3 linked regions of the Saccharomyces cerevisiae S288C genome follow. The protein of the gene in region 3 binds, or shares a complex with, the protein of the main gene of each other region. Each region holds a gene or a part of one and is shown on either strand. Other genes may lie near its edges. A codon is read from its position in the direction of its gene.

The links. The genes of interacting proteins can lie anywhere in the genome.
Region 1: the proteins of CBF5 (region 3) and NOP10 are in contact, whole or in part, in a crystal structure (PDB 3U28), measured with the Saccharomyces cerevisiae proteins. Residues at the interface, in NP_013276.1 of Saccharomyces cerevisiae: Asp65 (codon at 1,826), Lys66 (codon at 1,823), Pro67 (codon at 1,820), Ser68 (codon at 1,817), Trp78 (codon at 1,787), Ile82 (codon at 1,775), Thr99 (codon at 1,724), Val124 (codon at 1,649), Ile126 (codon at 1,643), Ile175 (codon at 1,496), Glu176 (codon at 1,493), Asp178 (codon at 1,487), Arg181 (codon at 1,478), Leu183 (codon at 1,472), Val185 (codon at 1,466), Gln214 (codon at 1,379), Glu215 (codon at 1,376), Leu216 (codon at 1,373), Arg217 (codon at 1,370), Val219 (codon at 1,364), Glu226 (codon at 1,343), Asn227 (codon at 1,340), Thr232 (codon at 1,325), Leu233 (codon at 1,322), His234 (codon at 1,319), Met237 (codon at 1,310), Asp238 (codon at 1,307), Trp241 (codon at 1,298), Tyr251 (codon at 1,268); in NP_058135.1 of Saccharomyces cerevisiae: Met1 (codon at 920), His2 (codon at 917), Leu3 (codon at 914), Gly11 (codon at 890), Lys12 (codon at 887), Arg13 (codon at 884), Tyr15 (codon at 878), Thr16 (codon at 875), Leu17 (codon at 872), Lys18 (codon at 869), Ala30 (codon at 833), His31 (codon at 830), Pro32 (codon at 827), Ala33 (codon at 824), Arg34 (codon at 821), Phe35 (codon at 818), Ser36 (codon at 815), Pro37 (codon at 812), Asp39 (codon at 806), Ser42 (codon at 797), Arg43 (codon at 794), Arg45 (codon at 788), Val46 (codon at 785).
Region 2: the proteins of CBF5 (region 3) and SHQ1 are in contact, whole or in part, in a crystal structure (PDB 3ZV0), measured with the Saccharomyces cerevisiae proteins. Residues at the interface, in NP_013276.1 of Saccharomyces cerevisiae: Ser20 (codon at 1,961), Glu21 (codon at 1,958), Trp22 (codon at 1,955), Pro23 (codon at 1,952), Leu24 (codon at 1,949), Lys27 (codon at 1,940), Leu49 (codon at 1,874), Lys50 (codon at 1,871), Arg51 (codon at 1,868), Asp52 (codon at 1,865), Ser274 (codon at 1,199), Asn277 (codon at 1,190), Ala278 (codon at 1,187), Tyr281 (codon at 1,178), Gly282 (codon at 1,175), Ala283 (codon at 1,172), Lys284 (codon at 1,169), Pro288 (codon at 1,157), Val336 (codon at 1,013), Lys337 (codon at 1,010), Arg338 (codon at 1,007), Cys339 (codon at 1,004), Arg343 (codon at 992), Asp344 (codon at 989), Pro347 (codon at 980), Arg348 (codon at 977), Arg349 (codon at 974), Trp350 (codon at 971), Leu352 (codon at 965), Gly353 (codon at 962); in NP_012162.3 of Saccharomyces cerevisiae: Ser181 (codon at 1,727), Val182 (codon at 1,724), Thr184 (codon at 1,718), Ser185 (codon at 1,715), Asn186 (codon at 1,712), Gly187 (codon at 1,709), Asp189 (codon at 1,703), Lys215 (codon at 1,625), Asp217 (codon at 1,619), Pro218 (codon at 1,616), Glu219 (codon at 1,613), Tyr220 (codon at 1,610), Val222 (codon at 1,604), Ser223 (codon at 1,601), Glu224 (codon at 1,598), Met226 (codon at 1,592), Thr227 (codon at 1,589), Glu237 (codon at 1,559), Ile238 (codon at 1,556), Asn239 (codon at 1,553), Thr319 (codon at 1,313), Thr321 (codon at 1,307), Thr322 (codon at 1,304), Glu323 (codon at 1,301), Trp326 (codon at 1,292), Tyr379 (codon at 1,133), Pro380 (codon at 1,130), Leu381 (codon at 1,127), Arg383 (codon at 1,121), Asp421 (codon at 1,007).

What each region holds. Positions count from the first base shown.
Region 1 is NC_001140.6:240,153-242,583, reverse strand, and holds NOP10 (snoRNP complex protein NOP10), read right to left. Parts: upstream 921-2,431; coding exon 744-920; downstream 1-743. Other genes in the region: oxysterol-binding protein related protein OSH3, read right to left, coding at 1-2; lanosterol synthase ERG7, read right to left, coding at 1,291-2,431.
Region 2 is NC_001141.2:169,239-173,292, forward strand, and holds SHQ1 (Hsp90 cochaperone SHQ1), read right to left. Parts: upstream 2,268-4,054; coding exon 744-2,267; downstream 1-743. Other genes in the region: SLM1 (phosphatidylinositol 4,5-bisphosphate-binding protein), read right to left, coding at 1-403; DPH1 (2-(3-amino-3-carboxypropyl)histidine synthase), read left to right, coding at 2,513-3,790.
Region 3 is NC_001144.5:504,207-508,151, reverse strand, and holds CBF5 (pseudouridine synthase CBF5), read right to left. Parts: upstream 2,019-3,945; coding exon 567-2,018; downstream 1-566. Other genes in the region: RFX1 (Rfx1p), read left to right, coding at 1-355; isocitrate dehydrogenase (NADP(+)) IDP2, read right to left, coding at 2,323-3,561; TAG1 (Tag1p), read right to left, coding at 3,905-3,945. UniProt on the Saccharomyces cerevisiae protein: Catalytic subunit of H/ACA small nucleolar ribonucleoprotein (H/ACA snoRNP) complex, which catalyzes pseudouridylation of rRNA. This involves the isomerization of uridine such that the ribose is subsequently attached to C5, instead of the normal N1.

The sequences.
Region 1 (2,431 bases), on a different chromosome or scaffold from region 3:
ATAATTCGATTCGCAGGCTGCTATTCAAGCTCGTTTTACTACTCTCCAGCAAATAGGACGTCGAAACTTTCACGAGTTATACTCTCCCCCCAACAGGTTCACTAAAAAACCATGTCGTTGCTGGTTGTATGGTGTCAAACTGCTTTTTCCAAAGATTTGGTTATTTTTTTCGCCCTACCCTAAGCAATATCCGTATTAAAAGCTATGAGGCTTTTTGGTTGAATCAACAGTTGGAAACGCTTGATACAACCAAAATAAATATGTCATTACAATTTTGTGCTCCCGGAAACAAGGTTTTCCAGCACAGTTATTAATGTAGCGGTAGCCTATCTGTAAGCCGACTCTTTGGAGCAGTAAAGTGGAGCAGTAGAGTGGAGCCTTTAGATCTAGAGATGCGGCTTAATATCGACATCAAGTACCTTTTTTGGTTGCTACAGTTAAAGACTTTTCTTGTACGTTTTAACAACGTGAAGCACAACTGTAACTAATATCAATCTATTTTTCCTTATTACAGCTAAAAAGAAACTGGCGAGTCTTAAAAGAACTGGTTCTGGATAAGAAAACGGCCACTGCTCCTTCGAGATTAAAACATATAATCGATCAATTATAATTAGTATTTATCACCTAAAAACTTATCAAATTTATGTAGGTCTAGAAAATTGAAAATGAAACAAGAAAATTCACTGCATTTTCATACTAGCCAGAATCACGTACTATACAATATTCCCTTAAACTACCCAAATCTATTGGCCTGGTACCAAACCAAATCTCTTCTTCAAAGTTACTCTTTGTCTTGAATATTTGTCGTCTGGAGAAAATCTAGCTGGGTGAGCAGACTTCGTGATTTCACCACTTTCGGTGACCTTTTTCAATGTATAGATTCTCTTGCCGTCTGGGCCCAAAGTGTACATCAAATGCATCTTGTTCAAAAGGATTTGTTATGTATTGGTCTATTGAAAGTATTTCTCTTTTCCGTCAACTCACTAACATAAGCCACTTTATAGCTACCATAATGTAATAAAAGAGTGATGAGCATAACTTGAAATTTTTTTCTCCTTCCGCTTAGTTGAAAAAAGACGAAAAAAATAGTGAAGCCGTGCTAAAGGATAAATGGTATATTTGAAAGAACTCTACACTTAGCGTGTAATCACCATAACCAATAGTTAGCTGGAATTTCAAACACATGTTAATTTTTCACCTATTATTTTACTACTACATATACAAATAAATATACTAGTTTTGCACTAGTTTCTAATTGTTGCAGCCTCTAACAACACTTATAAATAAAACTTAAAGCGTATGTGTTTCATATGCCCTGCTGTACATACCTAATGCCTTAATAGGGAATAAGAATCGATAACTTGGGTATTCAATTGCACAAGAGTGGTTGAAAACACCTTCTACACTTTCAAATTTCCATTCCCCGGATTCTTCTTGTCTATTTTTTAAAAGGTCAATACCGCGGTCGATGACTTCTTTATTAGGATATTCAGCGAAAAGAAGTGCAATTAGCGCCCATGCGGTTTGAACGACTAGCGATTTTTCACTATCCACATAACTATGTAATTCACTGGACTTCATTGATTCCCCCCAACCGCCATCCTTCATCTGTTTACTGACCAAGAAGTCGCAACCTTTTCTTACCGTTGAGGAATTCTCATAGGTCTCCCCCACGGTGTGTAATGCCTCCAATGCAAACATACCGGCATATGTAAAACAAATACCCCAGCTTCCATACCAACTTCCATCTGGTAATTGAGATTTTTTTATGAATTCGATGGCGATTCTGATGCGTGTACGTATTTCCTCTTTCCTATAGTCGAAGTACTTGTGAAAATATGTCAACCCCAGAACGGATGAATCAGTACATTCCACGTATGGGTATTCTACCATTATGTTACCAAAAACTTCAGCAGGATTCAAGGTTTCCATTGCTAGTGGGGCCTTGATTTTTTCATAGGTTGCAAAGGAACCATATTCAAAAGATCCGATGTTTTGTAGGTTCAATAACACATCAATGCCTTCAAATAAACGTTCACTGCTAATCATATGGTGTACTTCACTAAAGACGGGAGAGTTTTTCACCATGATGATGGCTTTAATTGCTTCTGCAGTGCAATCTGCCACTGTATAGCCCTGTGTTTTTGTTGAGAAGCCCCAAGCCCCCTTTCTCTTATCCCTATAACTACCTGGAACGCACTCGGTGTCAAATTGAGCATGACACAAGAATTTATAGGCAGAGACAATTGTGTTATAGAATTCAGGTCTTTCTGCGAGGCCTGCGACGAAAAAGTATTGAATGGCAAACGCACAATCCCAGGTTTGCACACCATTTGTTCCCATAATGGTCATACCCTGTGGACCATGGAACAATGCATCCTTGAACCTATATTGGAGACGCTGGAACGCTTCCGAGTCTACCCCTTCTTCA
Region 2 (4,054 bases), on a different chromosome or scaffold from region 3:
TATTATTGGGATCTGGGACAGCAATGGTTACATTGGTGTTCGAGTCGATATTAGGAGAACCATTGCTTATGATACCTTGCAACCCTCCAGAATTCATCGTCAGCGTCCTATTGTTTTGAAACGTTGAATTACTAGTGGAAGGAACTGGTTGTCCATTCAAATAGCTTTGTTGGTTTATATCGGATGTCAAACTGCCATTTTGAAAGCTTGCGCTCTGCTGCTGTTGCTGCTGCTGCTGCTGTTGTTGTTGTTGTTGTTGTTGCTGTTGTTGTAAAACGTTGGCATGATCTGCTGAAGTCATACTTCTCGTATGCTGCTGCAAGTTATGCAGGTGCTGAAGATTTAGCTGTTGCTGTGACAGCATATCAGAGACCGCAGAGGTCATTGTGTTGTTTTTCGACATTTTTTTTTCTTTTAATGTTGTATTCTTTTATTGTTAACTACTTTTTTTCTTTAAAAAGCTTCAAAAGAAGATGACCAAATGCAGATATAAGAACACTCTAATAGGTTGTACCAATTCAAGGGCTCAACAGATGTCCTCGTTGTTTTTCCCCCCCCCAGCTTGGATCGCTGTCACTCTTCAAGGCTTGAAAGCCTTCTCCCTTCTTCGATGGAATACGTAATGCCATGAGGGGAAAAGCCGCGGGAAGAGAAGGGTAACCCAATTTTAGGCCCCTGCAGGAACGTTAATCAATATATACTCTATCTAATGCAGTAATCTACGCTAAACATTCAAATGATCTTCATTGTGGGTTCTGCTGCTGCTCTCGGTATTCAGACTCTGCCAAAATTTCCATCTCTCTTATATTTAGTGTCTCCCACTCAGGTTCGCCAGTTTGTTCGTTGAACGATGCAATACATTCAAATTCAATATCCTGCTTGGAAAGTGACTCTTGCTCTTTTCTCATTTCCAAGGCCAGACTTCTTATGACGTTCTCACTACCCTGAGAAATGAACCACGCAGTCAGATCATCCAAGAGAACTTTGTCGTAGACGTAGTAAACATCATGGAAACGAAATGTTTCATGAATGTCCAAAAGCGCCCTTATGACTAGTCTCTTACCACCTCGTAGAATATAATATACGAATGTCCACGCTTTCATTGCTAGGTCATAGTTTCTATGTAGTGGATAACTCAGGGCTCTCCTGATACCTGTAATGATTGCAATCTTGATGAGAGAGCTGTCTTTATTAACCTTTGATATTTCTTTCATACCGTCTTGCAGTTCGTTCACCTGTTTTAATTGTTGGTCTAAGAATGATATTTGAGGGCACAATTTTCCCATGGTCCAAGCACTCTCTGTGGTATGAGTACCTTCGTTTTCGATCTGTTCAAACACATAACTGAAAAGAACGCTGAGTATAGTGACATAAAGTGGTTTTATATCTTCCACGAGATAAGACTTCTTGGGTAAATTGTCCTGCATCTGTTTTTGTTCCTCGTCAGTAAACTCAATTGGCATGACCAGATTTGGGTTCGTACTGTCTTTGTACCATTGCAGGTATTGCTTTACGATCGAAGGTGTAAACTTCAGTAGTTCTTTAATGCCGTTAATTTCCAAGTCTTCCTCGTTACCGTATTTATGTGTCATATACTCGGAAACATAGTACTCAGGATCAAACTTCAAATTTTCTTTTCTTAACCTTTCAATAACTCTATCGTTCGCGTCAGTGTGTTCAGGATCGTCTAATTCATTGATATCGTTCCCGTTGCTTGTCGACACTGATATAACTGTATCATATAAGTTATCAAACCCATATTTTGTCTTCAATATTCCATTATTGGTGCTGGAATCCATCTTTTGCTCTATCTCCCAATTAAACCCCTCTCCCATTTGACCAATAGTCTTCACATCATCTTTAATATTATTCGACACGCCATCAGTTTCGACCTCTTGAATAAGGGGCTTTTGGGTTTTTTTCGCATCAGTATTTTCTGTTAATGCATCGGCACCTGCAAGATCGCCTTGCCTAGCCAACAACTTTGTCGGTAGGTCCAAATCTTCGAAATATTCATTTTTATTCAGTTTGGCTACTTTTACATTGATGCATTCATCTTTGGAATCGTATTGAGCGGTAGACCTCTCATCATCGATTAATTCGTGAGGAAATCTTAATCTTAAATAGTAAGGGGATAAGTGAAAAATGATCATATTTTCTTGGATGATTATCTCTAAACCCACTGCACTGAACCTAATATTACTTATGAATATTTTGAGAAATATAAATTCCTCATCCTGTGTTATAGAGAATCTTGGTGTTATCATTATAGTTCAGAAGTGATGGTAGATTATAGCAAGTATTCTTCTTTTGTGAATCTTAATATTACTCTGAGCACTTGACACTGAATATTTAGTATTCAAAATTTTTCAGCTGATTTTTGCGATGCGATGGTGATGAAAAAAAAAACATGTAGTAGTAATAACAATCAAATAAAATAAGTGAAATCTCATGAACTATCTGCTGCGAATTTTAAGGATAATCGGATAGCTTGAAGCATTTCTTTTTCGTAATGAGTGGCTCTACAGAATCTAAAAAACAACCAAGAAGAAGATTTATTGGGAGAAAATCTGGCAACAGTAATAATGACAAATTAACTACAGTGGCTGAAAATGGCAACGAAATAATCCACAAGCAAAAGAGTAGAATCGCCCTAGGTAGGAGTGTTAATCATGTGCCAGAAGATATATTGAATGACAAAGAGTTGAATGAAGCCATCAAATTATTGCCCTCTAACTACAACTTTGAAATCCACAAAACTGTGTGGAATATCAGGAAATATAATGCTAAAAGAATAGCCCTACAGATGCCTGAAGGTTTGCTGATTTACTCATTGATTATAAGTGACATTTTGGAACAGTTCTGTGGTGTTGAAACTCTAGTAATGGGGGATGTGTCTTATGGTGCATGCTGTATTGATGATTTTACTGCTAGGGCATTGGATTGCGATTTTATTGTGCATTACGCTCATTCGTGTTTAGTTCCTATTGACGTTACAAAGATTAAAGTACTATATGTCTTTGTTACTATAAATATTCAAGAAGATCATATTATCAAAACGCTGCAGAAGAATTTTCCTAAGGGATCTAGAATCGCTACATTTGGTACCATTCAGTTTAATCCTGCGGTACACAGCGTCAGAGATAAACTGCTTAACGATGAAGAACACATGCTGTATATTATTCCACCACAAATCAAGCCTCTATCGAGGGGTGAAGTATTGGGGTGTACTTCTGAAAGATTAGATAAAGAACAATACGATGCCATGGTATTCATCGGTGATGGTAGATTTCATTTGGAGTCTGCAATGATACATAATCCGGAAATTCCTGCATTCAAGTATGACCCATACAACAGAAAGTTCACTAGAGAAGGATACGATCAAAAGCAACTCGTGGAAGTTAGAGCAGAGGCCATTGAAGTCGCTCGGAAGGGTAAAGTTTTTGGTCTGATCTTAGGTGCATTAGGTAGACAAGGTAATTTAAACACTGTAAAAAACTTGGAAAAAAACCTGATCGCAGCAGGTAAAACCGTGGTGAAAATTATTCTAAGTGAAGTTTTTCCCCAAAAGCTCGCAATGTTCGATCAAATTGATGTTTTTGTTCAGGTCGCATGTCCTAGACTGTCCATCGATTGGGGTTATGCCTTCAATAAACCACTATTAACACCATATGAGGCTAGTGTCTTACTAAAGAAAGATGTCATGTTCAGCGAAAAATATTATCCAATGGATTATTACGAAGCTAAAGGATACGGGCGTGGGGAAACTCCGAAACATGCGATTGAATAGTTTAAATAGTTTTTGTTGTCACTTGTCTTCCTGTTACATATGTATAAATAGTTAGTATCATATTCTTCGGAGCATCTTTTCTATTGTTTAAACGTTTTTGACGGCTTGCAGGCGAAACTAAATTGTCTAAAATTCAAAACAATGCCTTCTAACTTGATATCACTGCTGGTCAAGCCTATTTTTATTCTGGTTTCTCAGGCAAACCCAAATGATATTGTCAAATTTTTCACTGAGTTTGCCAAGCATATTTCCATGGACTTTTGT
Region 3 (3,945 bases):
TACAAATTCAGAGACAAACACAATAATGCAACATTTACAAGGGTTCTGTCAAGTTTTCGTAACAAAGTTCTTAAATTCCTCTATGAGCGTTAGCAATGATCCCTCTGTGTCTATCGAATGCAAGTCCTTAAATGAAATGATTAAAGATTTTTGTTCCTTTATTTCCCTACAAAGCAAATTTTCGTGCTTGAAATTAATTGATTGCAGCACAAGATTCAGGAATGCAATAATCGGCGATATTAGCTTAAAATCAAATGAGAATTTGCTATCATGGTTGTTTCTAAATAATGTCATGGGCCAATTGCTGAACTACTGTTTTGAAGTCATGAAATTCGTCAATGGCCTAAAAGTTTAAAAGTTCTATCATTAGTATATGGGGATATTTAAAAAAGAATATAACGTTGCATATGTAAAAAAAATAAAAGTAAAAGAATACTACAAGTCGTTGATAAAGAAATTTTACGTTATTAATATACACACTAAAAAAAATCTAATCTAATAATAGAAAAAGTTTTTTGAAAAAAAGAAAGCTGTTAAATATATAGGATGAGATGGAGTGATGAGAATCATTTCTTAGATTTCTTAGATTTCTTTTCCTCAGAATCACCGTCTTCAGACTTTCTTTTCTTCTCCTTTTTCTCTTTCTTTTCCTTCTTGTCCTTCTTTTCTTTCTTTTCCTTCTTTTCCTTCTTGTCCTTCTTCTCTTTCTTTTCCTTTTTGCTGTCATCCTCTTTCACTTCTTCCTTCTCAGTTTCGACTTCTTTGATTAAAGAATCTTCTTTAGCTTTCTTAGGCTCTTCTTCAGTTTCCTTAGTTTCCTGAGAGCTAGAAGTTGACTGTTCAGCATTGTCTAATGGAACATATTCTTTTTTCCATTGTTCTGGGGTGTTTTCGTTAACACGGCCGTATTTATCCAATTTGCCGTCTGCCTTCATTTGCTTCTTCTTTTGTGCGACTGGACCCAAACCCCATCTTCTTGGGTATAAATCTCTTTCCATGATACATCTCTTCACACTAGCAACAACACCATGATCACAGGAAGCTAAGTCAACGGTTGACATTTGTGCGATGGCAACGGCAATGGCTTCACCCTTGGTAGTTATCAAGACAATTTCGTCATATAACTCAATACCTTCTTCGTAACGCAATAAACCAGGGATCATCAACTTTGCACCATAACATACTGCATTGACAGCAGAATCCTTCACTACAATTCTCTTGTAACCAACCAATAGAGTTTCTAAAGGTTGAATAATGGATCTCAAGTAAGATTCATCTCTTGTATTGTCGTAAACCCATTGGGCATCCATAACATCATGTAAAGTGACCATGTTGTCATTTTCAGACAGAGCACCGGATCTAACACGACGCAATTCTTGCATGTGACCACCAACACCTAATAGCATACCTAAATGAACACACAAAGTACGCATATAAGTACCAGCTTCACAGGAAGCCCAGAAAACACCTAAGTTTCTCTTGTTATCGAACTCAATCAAGTTTGACTCATAGATAGTACGAACACGTAATTGTCTCTTAACAGCAGAGATTAAAGGAGGTCTTTGGAAAAGCGCACCGGTCAAGTTTTCTAGTGAGCGGCCCAAATCCTTTTCATCCTTCAAAGCATCATGCAATCTGACAATACACACATACTCCTTACCAGCACCTTGTTGAGACTTAACCAACCTGGTAGCTCTGTCAATACAAACAATCAAACAACCTGTAACTTTTGGATCCAATGTACCAGAGTGACCAGTCTTCTCACAACGTAAGATTCTTTTGATCCAAGCTACAACTTCGTGCGATGATGGGTTGGAAGGTTTATCTAGATTAATGACACCAGAGCTGATATATGATTTCAGGTCTCTCTTTAGTGGTGAACTACCAGCTGGGATAGGGGTATAATGACCACTTCTGACTAATAACTTATCAAAATTCTTCAAAAGTAATGGCCATTCACTAGTGTCAGTGGAAGCACCTGCAGCTTCAGGCTTAATAACGAAATCCTCCTTTGACATTGTGTATATCGGTCCTCTGTGTAGGTTGTAACGAACTCCAGATGATAATGAATCTTTAAAAAAAAAAACCAATAAAAAATGTTCTGAAAACTATCTTTACATTATATTTTTCCTAAGCTAAACATCTCATCATTTGAAAATTTTTCAAATTTTTTCAGCATTTTCTTTTTGCGAAGAGGGAAAAGAAGAAAGAAAAATTTTCAGTGAGAACAGAAGATCATATGTTACGAGTAGAAAATACTAAAAGTTTTTCGATAAAAAGGGAATATATAATATAAATAAATCAATCTGTCATTGAGTAAGTTTACAATGCAGCTGCCTCGAACTCTTTTTTCAATCTAGATTCCACCGCGTCAATGAACTCCTCGGTAGTGACATAAGCGGATCTTTCAGACTTACCGAGAATGAGCGCCAAATCTTTAGTCATGATTCCATCTTCTTGCACTGTATTTACCGTAGCGCTTTCCAATATTTGGCCGAACTTAACTACATCTGGAGTATTATCAAGTTTACCCCTTTGAATAATACCTCTAGTCCACGCGAAAATTGATGCAATGGAATTTGTTGACGTCTCCTTTCCTTGCTGATGCTGTCTAAAATGTCTTGTTACTGTACCGTGGGCGGCTTCGCTTTCAAAGGTTTTACCGTCCGGGGTAATCAACACAGATGTCATTAACCCCAAGGAGCCAAATCCTTGTGCAACAATATCTGATTCTACGTCACCGTCGTAATTTTTCATGGCAATTATGTATCCACCTTTAGATTTCAACATTTGGGCCACCATATCATCAATTAAACGGTGCTCGTACCAGATGCCAAGGGATTCAAACTTCTCTTTATAACTTCTAGCATACATGGCTTCGAAAACATCTTTGAATTTACCATCATACTTCTTCAAAATAGTATTCTTAGTAGTGGAATATAATGGTAACTTCCTTTCAATGGCCAATTCAAAGGAGGCCTTCGCAAACCCTTCGATCGAATCTGTAGTGTTGTACATCATCATGGCAACCCCACCATGTTCTGGGTAGTCAAATACCTTCAGATCTACATCATGAGTTCCGCTCTTGGATTTATAAACAAGCCTCAACTCGCCTTCTTCAGGGACTATTACATCGGTAGCTTTGTACTGATCGCCGAATGCGTGTCTCCCAATGATGATGGGCTTCTCCCATTGAGGAACTAGCCTTGGAATTCTAGGGATAATAATAGGTTCTCTGAACACTGTACCACCCAAAATGTTTCTAATAGTACCATTTGGAGATTTCCACATCTTTTTCAAATGAAATTCCTCGACCCTTGCCTCATCGGGTGTAATAGTCGCGCATTTGACAGCTACTCCATACTTTAAAGTCGCGGTGGCAGAATCCACAGTTACTTGATCATTAGTCTGGTCACGATACTCCACGGAAAGATCGTAGTACTTCAAATCAACGTCAAGATAGGGCAAGACTAACTTGTCCCTGATTAAATGCCAGATTATTCTTGTTTGCTCATCGCCGTCCATTTCCACAATGGGGTTAGCTACCTTAATCTTTGTCATTACGATTTTATATATATACGTACGTTACCTTCTTACCTCCTATTCTCGTGCCTGAGCAGCGACTGTAGTCGACAAGTCAAGAGTGTAGTAACATACAATTGCAGGCTGTCATTTATATATCATGCCGGAGACTAGTTTGCCTATAGCCAATTCCAACCGAACCAATAATGTTAAGTCCGGTTTTTGATATTATACTCCACCCCCACTATTCCTAGCCCTGAAAGGTATCAAAGAGAACACTGATGATTTGACTACTGCATATTCTTCCCTTATTTCCTTATTTGCCGATTTTCGGACCACCGGCAATGACATCCCGGAGTTATAAAAATAAATAGATAGACGTTCACGTGACCAAAGTGTCACCCTCTCCGGCTAACCCGGTGA